2 linked regions of the Drosophila melanogaster genome follow. The protein of the gene in region 1 purifies or fractionates together with the protein of each later gene. This does not show direct contact. Each region holds a gene or a part of one and is shown on either strand. Other genes may lie near its edges.

The links.
Region 2: the proteins of betaNACtes1 (region 1) and S-Lap3 purify together in Drosophila melanogaster (affinity purification with mass spectrometry, with the first as the bait; one large-scale study listed by BioGRID). This does not show direct contact.

Annotation. Positions count from the first base shown.
Region 1 is NC_004354.4:14,170,806-14,174,594, forward strand, and holds betaNACtes1 (Nascent-associated complex beta-subunit-like, testis 1), read right to left. Parts: upstream 1,820-3,789; 5' UTR 1,737-1,819; intron 1,683-1,736; 5' UTR 1,666-1,682; coding exon 880-1,665; 3' UTR 682-879; downstream 1-681. Other genes in the region: CG12480 (uncharacterized protein), read left to right, coding at 1-643.
Region 2 is NT_037436.4:10,463,082-10,469,099, reverse strand, and holds S-Lap3 (Sperm-Leucylaminopeptidase 3), read right to left. Parts: upstream 3,914-6,018; 5' UTR 3,690-3,913; intron 2,916-3,689; 5' UTR 2,589-2,915; coding exon 981-2,588; 3' UTR 620-980; downstream 1-619. Other genes in the region: CG32061 (uncharacterized protein), read right to left, coding at 4,555-5,199.

The sequences.
Region 1 (3,789 bases):
CAGCTCCTACCAACCCGCTGAATACACTCCAGCTCATCTTAAGGCTTCTGTTCCGGCGGCTATTGGTGCTGATACCTATGCCCCAGTTCCGGCTGCTATTGGTGCTGATACCTACACCCCTGAAAAGTTCATTCCCCAGGACGTTCAAGAGGCCCACTACAAGTACATTCAGGAGCAAGAGCAAGAGCAGGGAGCGGCTGTTCCCGGAGGAGATTCGAGCTCTTACCAGCCCGCTGAATACACTCCAGCTCAACTCAAAAAGTCGGTTGTAGCCTCAACCGCTGCCTCTGCTATTTCTGGGGCAGATTCCAGTTCCTATCAATCCGCCGTTTCCCAGACGAGCTACGTTAATAGCCAGGCCAAGACAATCGTGGCCGGATCGTCTAGCAGTTCCTACCAGAGCGCCCAACCCATCGCCGCCTATGTCCAGGGACAAACCCCAGTCGTCATTGGAGCGAACACGATCACACCTGCCCATCTGTACGAGGAACCCACATCGAATGGCATCGAGGAGTTCAATCCCGATACCCATGTGCCCGTGGCCATTGGTGCCGACACCATTACTCCTGCCCATTTGCAGGCCAGCTACTCCAAATCCGTCCAGGAGACCCAGTACGCGTCGAACGGCGGCTATATTTACTAAGACAAATAACTGAGAGCCACAGAGTCTAATATAATCTTAAATTTATAACTTTTTTTTATTTTGGAACTATAGATCATTAAAATTTCCATAAGTGTAGAGAAAACCAATGCTTTCAATAAACACCAAGAGATTAAAGTACAAATCTATAGAATATGGAACCTTTTTCTGTCTCAACTTTCTCAATTCATACGATTTATTTTTGAAATTGGTACAAATGTAGCAACAAATGAATATGCCTAATCTTCGTCCTCTGAGACCTGAACGCGATAAGTATTTGGATAGAGCTGCTCCGTCAAATAATAGTAATTGGAGTAGGAGGACAGGTAGATCGACTCCGTAGTGTCAACGTCCTCCTTGCCGTCGGAATCATCGCCGAAGCTTCCCAGCGAATCTTTGTCGCAGACTATGGTCCGATCCACATCAGACTCATCCGATGGCACCTTCTCATTATCCGGATCGCTGCCATCTTCAGAGGAGATCAAAATTGGTTTACCATTGCTAAGCTTCGGCTCCGAATCCCAGCCAGCCATGGCTGCGTCCTCTTTGTTTTTGGAGAGCATCATTTGGACCTTCTTGTTGCGAGGACGAACACGATTGCGCGGCTTCTTGGGCTTCTTGGCCACCTTAATGGACTCCTCTGATTCTGGCTTTTTGTCGGAAAAAGCTTCCGGCTTGGGTGGCTTAGGTGGCATGGGTGCCTTGGGCGCATTGGCTGCCTTGGCCACTTTCGATGGGCCAGCTGTTGACGACTTGCGCACGAAATCGCCACTAACCACGAAGAAAGAATTGCCAGCGGTGCTCTGAACCCTGGGCATGGTTAACACAACCTTACTGGAATTGGTGAACTCGATGGTCACCTCCTCGATTTCGTCGATATTCTTCAACGGCAACATGGCCAATGTGGCTTGCACGCGCTTCTCGGCCGCAGCCGAGGATGGGAATCTCTTATGCTTGCGGCGCATAGATCCTTTGCCGCCGATGCGCACCACCTCCTCCATTTTCTTCAGCTTCTTGAAATCCATTGTTTCGTTAGGAAAACCTATTAACTTGTATGGGTAAAGTGCGTGGAAAAGAATTCTCTTGAAATGCTCACCTTGAAAATGCTGTGCTTTACAAATTAATATATTAATTAATATAATATTAAGTAATATTCGCTTGGAGATGTGAATCAACTGAGGTCCTCACGCCAAATCAGAAATGTGACTTTTAGACTGCAAAGTCATCGTCTTTTTTTTTTGAGTTTTTGACACGTGCTAAAAGGGTTGCCAGAGCTTTGTCATGTCCTTGCAGATGGGAACTCTAGACTCGAATATATAAATATCTAGAGTAGATATTGTCGACATCGATTCTTAGGTGCAGATGACCGCACGTCGTGCCTCAAGTAATCAATTTTGCATTAAACATAAACATATAAATATTAACTTTTAACTATGCATGTTTTTTTATCATTTTTATGAAATATAGTTTTTATTGTGTATATTTTCTTTTTTCGGAAAATGTATGTTTTAAGTTAAAAAATTAATACTAACAATTCCAGATCGAAACTTTATTTTATTTATAAGTTGAAATATGAATGTACTTAATATATAAATATTAATTACTATTTTCCAACATTAATTACCTCTTGTTGAAAAGGATAACTGTTTGCAGTTCTCAGAATGGCCATGGTTAAGTTAAGTTATCACCAATGAACTCTGAAATTTCCATCACATTTTGCTTGGCATCGTCATGCTTGACATTTCCTGCCTTTTTTACACTTGAAGATAATTCATCAACGTGATCATAAATGAAATCGATATAAAAATGGATTTTAATTATTGACACAGGCGAATCACAGGCGAATCATATGTGAACGGGCTATAAATCGTCAATAGGTTACCCACCTTGCGAATATGATACATAGATAATCTTAAAAAATTACTCTTTATGTTTCTATGCTACAATGTTGCAAGAGAATCAATACGTTTGATGGATTTGAATATTAATTCAAAAATTGCAAAGGTCTTGCTAAAAATTTATTGAATTGTAAATTTCTGGCTGTGCTGCATTTCAAGTTCACGGACAGTGGAAAGACGCTCGAGATGTGGCAGCAAGTAAAAGTTGTTACTTATTATGTAAAGACCGCTGGGGAACTCGTAACTCTGGCGGCCGGCGTCTGTTCTCAAGGCCATCTTCTGTCGGTCTCCACTGATGGGTTTTGTGTGTTTATGGGTTTTTAGAAAGTGCGAGTGGGGCTCCGTTTTTCGAAACACGACGTTCTGTGGGGGCCATCAATCTGGGCGAGTGTCTCGAACGAGGCCAAATGGATCTCTTTTTGTGCGCCGGCCCATTTCTGCGGTTGAAACAAGAAAAATGGTTGCTCCGGTGTATAATGTGTTAAATTGAATGTTAATTAGTGGAACCCCCTTAGTTTTTTTCCCCCTTTTTTTTGGGCTTTGTGCGGCACAAACCCCCCCCCCCCCCCTCCCTCCCTCCATTCCCCTTGAGTCCGACGCTAATAAGCCAGATTGAAGAGACCACAAAAAGGTGTCCCAAAGTAGTTCACCCGCCGCAAACCCGTTGCGTGGATGGAAAAAAATATAATATCGTAAATGAGCCAAACCCGTTTGCATGTGCGATTTCGTTCGATTTTTATGTTGAATTTAATTTTAATGTGATTTTCCGTTTGGTAGTTTAGCCAGCCCCCTCCCTATATATGCTTTTTAACCTCCGCCCTGATTAGTGTTGCCATTTTAGCCATTTTATTGCCAAAACCATCTAACTAAGTAAGCTCTGCCAATGATCTATGCTAGTTAACGTTTCAAGTTACCATTTTTTTTTCAAAACTCAGTTTTTAAGAAGTAAGTAAATATTTAACAAGTCGGCAGTTTTAAGTTGTAAATAGGTGATTAGCTCAAATGTTAGTATCTAAATCTTTTATATTATTACTTATTTTGCATTGTGCTACCACTACTACTTAATTGAACATTGCAAACGGTCTGGTGTACATAAACAATTATAAGTGAAGCATATTCTTAATTGAAAATACTTAAACTTTTTAACAGTTTTCACAATTAGCTGCCAACTTATGTGGCTATGTCCCCTCAGCCCCTCAGCACCAGTCAGCCGTTTGTTTGTCTTGATTTCATGGTGACGTCTTTTGCGGC
Region 2 (6,018 bases), on another chromosome or scaffold:
GGAGATAAATGACTGCTAATGTCGGCTGCAGCAACTTCCTGAGAAATGGTTTTAAAATGCATGCGAGTCTAGTTTTCCCGCTTTTTTCTTTTGCAATATTATCGAGTATTTTTCTAAAGAATTTTACATCGACCAATTGAATTAGTCTACAAATAAATTACAACGATGGAGCCTTTCAATTGTTCCGAGCCAAAAAAGCACGACGTCTTGTGTGCCGGGAAAGTTTGAAATTTAAGCCAAGCTGAGCCGGACATCAATAACGTGCGGAAAAGTTTGCCATAAACTCTTCGATATCCTGTCACTCCAGTCAGTCCAGACTTTCCAATCATCCTCATCCTTTTCTCGGTCGCCTCATTGATATGCCAAAAGTAGACGTGGTCTGCAAATTGGGTGGAATTCAGCTATTTGTGTTCGCCTGACATTGACGATGGCCCGTCTGAGGACCTTCGACGGCAGTTTAGTGGGTATACTTTCCACCCAAAAATGCATAAAATTGGTCAAAGCTGTGGCTAATAGTTCATCGTTAAAGACACAAAGCTAGATTAAAGTGCTTATTTGGGCTTAAAAGATTTAAATCATCACCTCTACTTTGGATTAATTTTTAAAACTCGTTATCGTTATCGTTCCTTTAAGATGACCCTACAATTTATTACATTTGATTGTCTGCCGAACGTTTATAATTGATTGATACAATGATTTTCCTGTGTGAATTTGAATTTTTTTTGGACGCTAGACAATCTCTGCCAGCCAACTCAGCCCCGGGATGCGGCCGAGTCATAAACATAAAATACAAACATTGAACGAGCTCTGGTCCCTTGTCCTGGGACTTTGGTCAACAGATTAAAACGTTGGGTGAACATCGTCAACCCACATCATAAATATACACAGTTGGAGCCGAACATCCATTTTTCGAGAGCCTTTAAGAGTCGCCAGTCAAAGAACCAATCAAAACGTAATCGAAGTCATCCGCAGAACATCAATTATTTAGGCTGTTCGGGGCAGGCGATTTGGTAGAGGAACTGCACCAATGTCCTGGTCGGTCTGCCAGTCATCCTGCCAGCTGTCAAGTAGGGTATCAATCCATATGTGCTCAATAGTCCAGTACCATAGGTATCCAAATGGGCCCAATCGCTGCAGGGCACGAGTTCGTGGAGAACAGCAGCTGCCAGGCAAGACGAGGCATATCCCTCGCCATCGTTCAGTAGGTCGAAGCTCAGGTGCTCTGCCACACGATCCTTGTAGTAGCGCCATAAGGGGAATCGCCACAAGCGATCACCGGTCAAGGAACCGGCACGCTGGAATTGTTTCCATATATAGTGAGAATTCGACCAAATACCAGTGGCTCCACCGCCAACTGCCTTCTTTACGCCCTTGCACATGGAGCCCACATCCACGACGAGTCTGGGCTTGTATGTTATCTGACCATAAAGCATGGGATCCGAGATGACCACCACTCCTGTTCGACTTATATTACGCACCGCCAGAGATTTGGAATTGAGTAAGGTCACCACATCGCCAGGCTTGCAGGACATTCCAGACGGCAGATTCTCGCACAGTGGTATCACAGCAGTTATATTGATGGGCAAAGATAGAGCAGCTGCTGCGCGCATGGCGGCCAAAATGCATGCCGCTCCAGTGAGATCTCCGCGGAATTCATCCATGCCCTTGCAAGGACGCAGATTGATGCCACCTGAATTGAAGGTTATGCCTTGACCCACCAGCAGAATGGGCTTATCTTCCGGTGCGGTGCCGCAATAGGCCACCTCAAGGAGAACGGGTGGTTCGCAACTGCCTTTGGCAATCATCAGGAAGGAGTTCAGATGTTGCTGTTCAATCCATTCCATGGTGCGAACCTCTACGGTGATGCCGCATGGGCATAGTGAATCCACTGCAGCCTGTGCCACAATTGTCGGTGTCATACAATTGGCTGGGGCATCACACAGTCTTCTGGCCAAATTCTGTGCCTCTGCCTTGAAGAGGCCCCTTGTCCAGGACTCGACATCCGGTGAACCATGCAGCTCCAGTTTCGGTATAGTGCTACGATACTTCTTCGCCAGATTCTCCTCATATCGCCAAATGGCCAGTGCAGCACCTTCGGCTGCCTGTTCGGCATAGTCCATATTATCCACATGCACTTCCGAGCAGCCAATACTTTGTAATGATCGGGCACCGATTCCAGCAGCTATGCGCACATTCTCCATACCCTCGTCCAGCATTTCCAGTTCATTAAAGGCTATGCCTTCGAGACCAACGCCCACCACGCAAATGGATCTGAACTCGCTGTCCACATTGTTGAAGACCTTGCCGCGACCCAATCGTCCAGTTAATTTGGTTTCGCAAACCAATTCCGATAGCTTGCCCTGCACACGATCGTCAAACTTTTCGCCAGCAGGCGTTAATCGAGGTCCCTTGCCCGACTCCTTTTCGTAGAGGCCCAAGACGATTCCTTTGCCGCCCTTGACGGTATCACCAGCTGCACAGCCGGCGGTCACATGACGAACAGATCCAATTTGGGGCACGGCACTTACGCGGCACCGGCTCAAGCTCCTCGCCAATGCGGGTCCCTTCAGCAACAGTTGTCCACGCATAGTATATAGTATTATTATGTTTACCGCACTATATACGCGAGCTATTATCTGCACAATTTTGACGACTGTTGTGTGTTTTTACAATTTACGGCAACTCTCGAAGTGTATGTATGTTGGTCTCTCGAACTGTCTCTAATAATTTTGACCAGCCACGTTCAAAAGTTTTGTCAGGTGTCCAAAAAAAAAAAAAAAAAGAGAAAATGTTTCAAAAATGTTTCATGTGCGAACGTAAAATGTATATTTAAAAAAGGAACGAACGAAATGTGTTGTCTGCTTTCGTTGCTAAAATCGGTAAGACTAAACCAAACCGAACAAATTTTTTGATAACTGTAATGAAACGGAATACTAGATCAGATTAAATTCAAATGATGTGTCAAATAAGGAAAAACATATATGTACGTATAAACTATGTACAAACTTTGTATCTATGTATATGTATAGGTCCAGAATCTAAAGCTTTACTTACAGTTGCGATCAGAAGAACATTTGAAACTTGCAGATATTTTACTAGTAGATTAAATTATGTATAGGAAATTTATAAGCGAAATTTGGCTCCATTGGTTTTGTACATATGCTTTATTCTAAAGACTTTCTTGTTTCAACAAGGAAGAGTTATTATTTTTAATGCATTTTCTTATATATATAAATTATATACTATTACTGCAAGGGTATATAAGCTTCATGTTTTTTTGGAAACTAAGAACAAAGAACTAAGCTTATTATTAATTTGGCTAGATCAAAAACTTGTATATTTATAAGGTCGGAAATGCTTTTACCTCTCTTATACTTTTCTGCTAATCTAGTATACCCCTTCAATCTTACGGGTAGTATACATATTCTTTGATTTAAGTCCCTAAGACATTGCATTTAATTTAAAAGTAGAAAGAAAATAATATTAGTTTTTTTTTATGCTATTTGCAGTGTTATATTTCTTCAAAGACGAAACCACTACTGCAAATCTGGTAAGTTACCAAGAAAAACTAGATTCAAAATTCTAAGATCCTTTTAAAGAGTTGATAGAGAACCTATGAAATATTCTAACTGGTACCCCGAAACGATATATTATTTCCTCTCAGTCTAGTTGTTAGTTATATTACTTACCAGCAAGTCGAAACAGTGGACCGAAATGGGGGAATCGAGAGTTGACCCGAATTGTGTTGTTTGCCAATGGAGAACTCAAGAAACGATCCTTGCAAGTGTCGTTTTTCCTCGTTTGCTGACCGACACAGATCCTGTCGATATGATTCAGTGTCCAAAGCGCGAATAACTTTCGGCACTAAAGCAATTTACATAAAATGTTTATTTGGGTATAATTTTGAAATGTGCTCGGAGAATTCTCGTTTTTAAGTGAACTTCGATCGGTTGAGTGTCATGTCGGTGATGTTGAGATTTCTATAATACACAAATAGATATTTAAAAGGTCAATAATGCAGGAGTACTGCTATTAAGAGTTTTCTGACTATAATTCCCCATTCAATGAAAAGCTCTTGAAATAATCATATAAGGATACAAACATTTTTTAAAGCAAAAAATAGCACTTGTGTATTTATGTACTCCTTTCACATTTATTCACCGTGAGTTTTCTCCACTGAATAAAAGTGAGCAAGAAAAAGTGATTGCCGCATATTTCCCACGTGGTGGAAAAGTTTTTTCCAACAATAAAATGCCAAGCGGTGCATAAAGTTCATAGAAAAGTTTTCTCTTTTGTTGATTGAAAATGTCGCTTATTGTCGCAGGCAAAACACCAGAAGAAATCAACAATACAAATGTTGTTGAGAAATTAAAACTAACAATAAACCAATAACGAATTCCAATGCTCAATTAATGCTACAATAATTTAAGTTTACTGATCAAATCAAAATCACTTTAAAACTTTAGAGCTAAGTCAACAAAATCGATTTATTTTCCATTATTATAATTTTTGCATCAAACATAAAATAAAAATTTTAAATATAGATTGCCATGTTCAGTCCAAAAGATGTGTTTCAATGGAAATACAATTTCCAGAAAGATGAGATGCCTTCTCCAAGGATACTCCTCCGCCGATAATTTGCGACCAATAGGGTATTAAAGTCACGGATGTAGAACGATGCCAAAAGAGGCCTTGCAGTTCTCCATAAAGCTGAATCGCCCTCCAGTTAGATATGCAAAAATGCTGTATGACCATGTAAAATCGAATATAGTTGATCAATCCGCTGGCCACAAAGGTCAATATCCAGGGCAAAGCAAATAACAGGAATATATTCCGCGGCAGGGTTCCGTTTTTCAATGCGGAATTCTGTTTTTTGATCCAATTGTTTTTCACTTGCTCTGCAGCTGTTGTCGTAGTTTTAAGGATTCCTTTCTTTTCCATCGATACCTCACTTTTGCCACTTTGCAAGTGTCGTGAGTACCAAACTCCGATCATAGATAGTAGTGAATACATTATGGCCTTAACCAGCATCCAGTGATTGTATTTATAGCCCAATTGAAGCGTTAGATTACGATTCACGGAGGGATAGACCGTTTTTAGATTGGCATTCGCCTCGATGACCGGCTGAAGATTTGAGCCCAAGTGCAGGGATGTCAGCAGCGCAAAGTAACCAATGTCTCGTATTTTGGGTATGAACATGGTTCTCGAATTTGGAGTTCAAAATGAAAAAATTTTAAGTCGTTTTTTAAATTTTGTATCTAATTTTGTGTGACCTCAATGTGCTCTGACATTCCCAGTCTGATTGCTTAAAAAACGTTATATTATAAACATTTTTTGATTTTTATTTTAAATTATACGTAATTAAAATTACGTAATTAAACAATTAGGTAAATAATAAAAGATTTTATCGTTGTTTGTTATAAATTAATTTATTAAATTGAAAGGCAGCGTGCTGAAACTACTTAACTGCATCAACTTATTTTAGCGACATAAATTATTTGAAATTCCCGCCAGCTGGTACAGTTTGAGAGCAACTATTAGCTGTGCTAAAACCCCTGCATTTAAGTGCTTGACAATCTTGCCTTATTCCAACCTATTGGAAATATAAATTTCATATTAAAACAATCAACGGTACGATGTACATATTTTTTTATTGTAAAACAATATATTGTTAAGATTTCAAAAGGAATTAATTTTTTATTTTTAGTTCAATTGGTTGGAGTGCTTGGTAAATAGTTAGCACAGATAGCAACCTTGGTGTGAGCCTTCGCTAATATTTCGACATAAGATTTAAATACAGAAAATAATATTTAATTCTAACAATTATACCTTATTTCTGTGTGAAATTATGAAAAATGTAAACATTTCTCTGAATACAAATGACATTTCGTTACTGTAGGTTTTGTTCTGTGTAAATAGGTTTAATATTCACGGATAATTCGTTTGTAGTATATTTTAGTATATAATTATTCGCGTATGATGGATTTTTTGGCCGGCAATAAAAAAGTGTAAATTGTA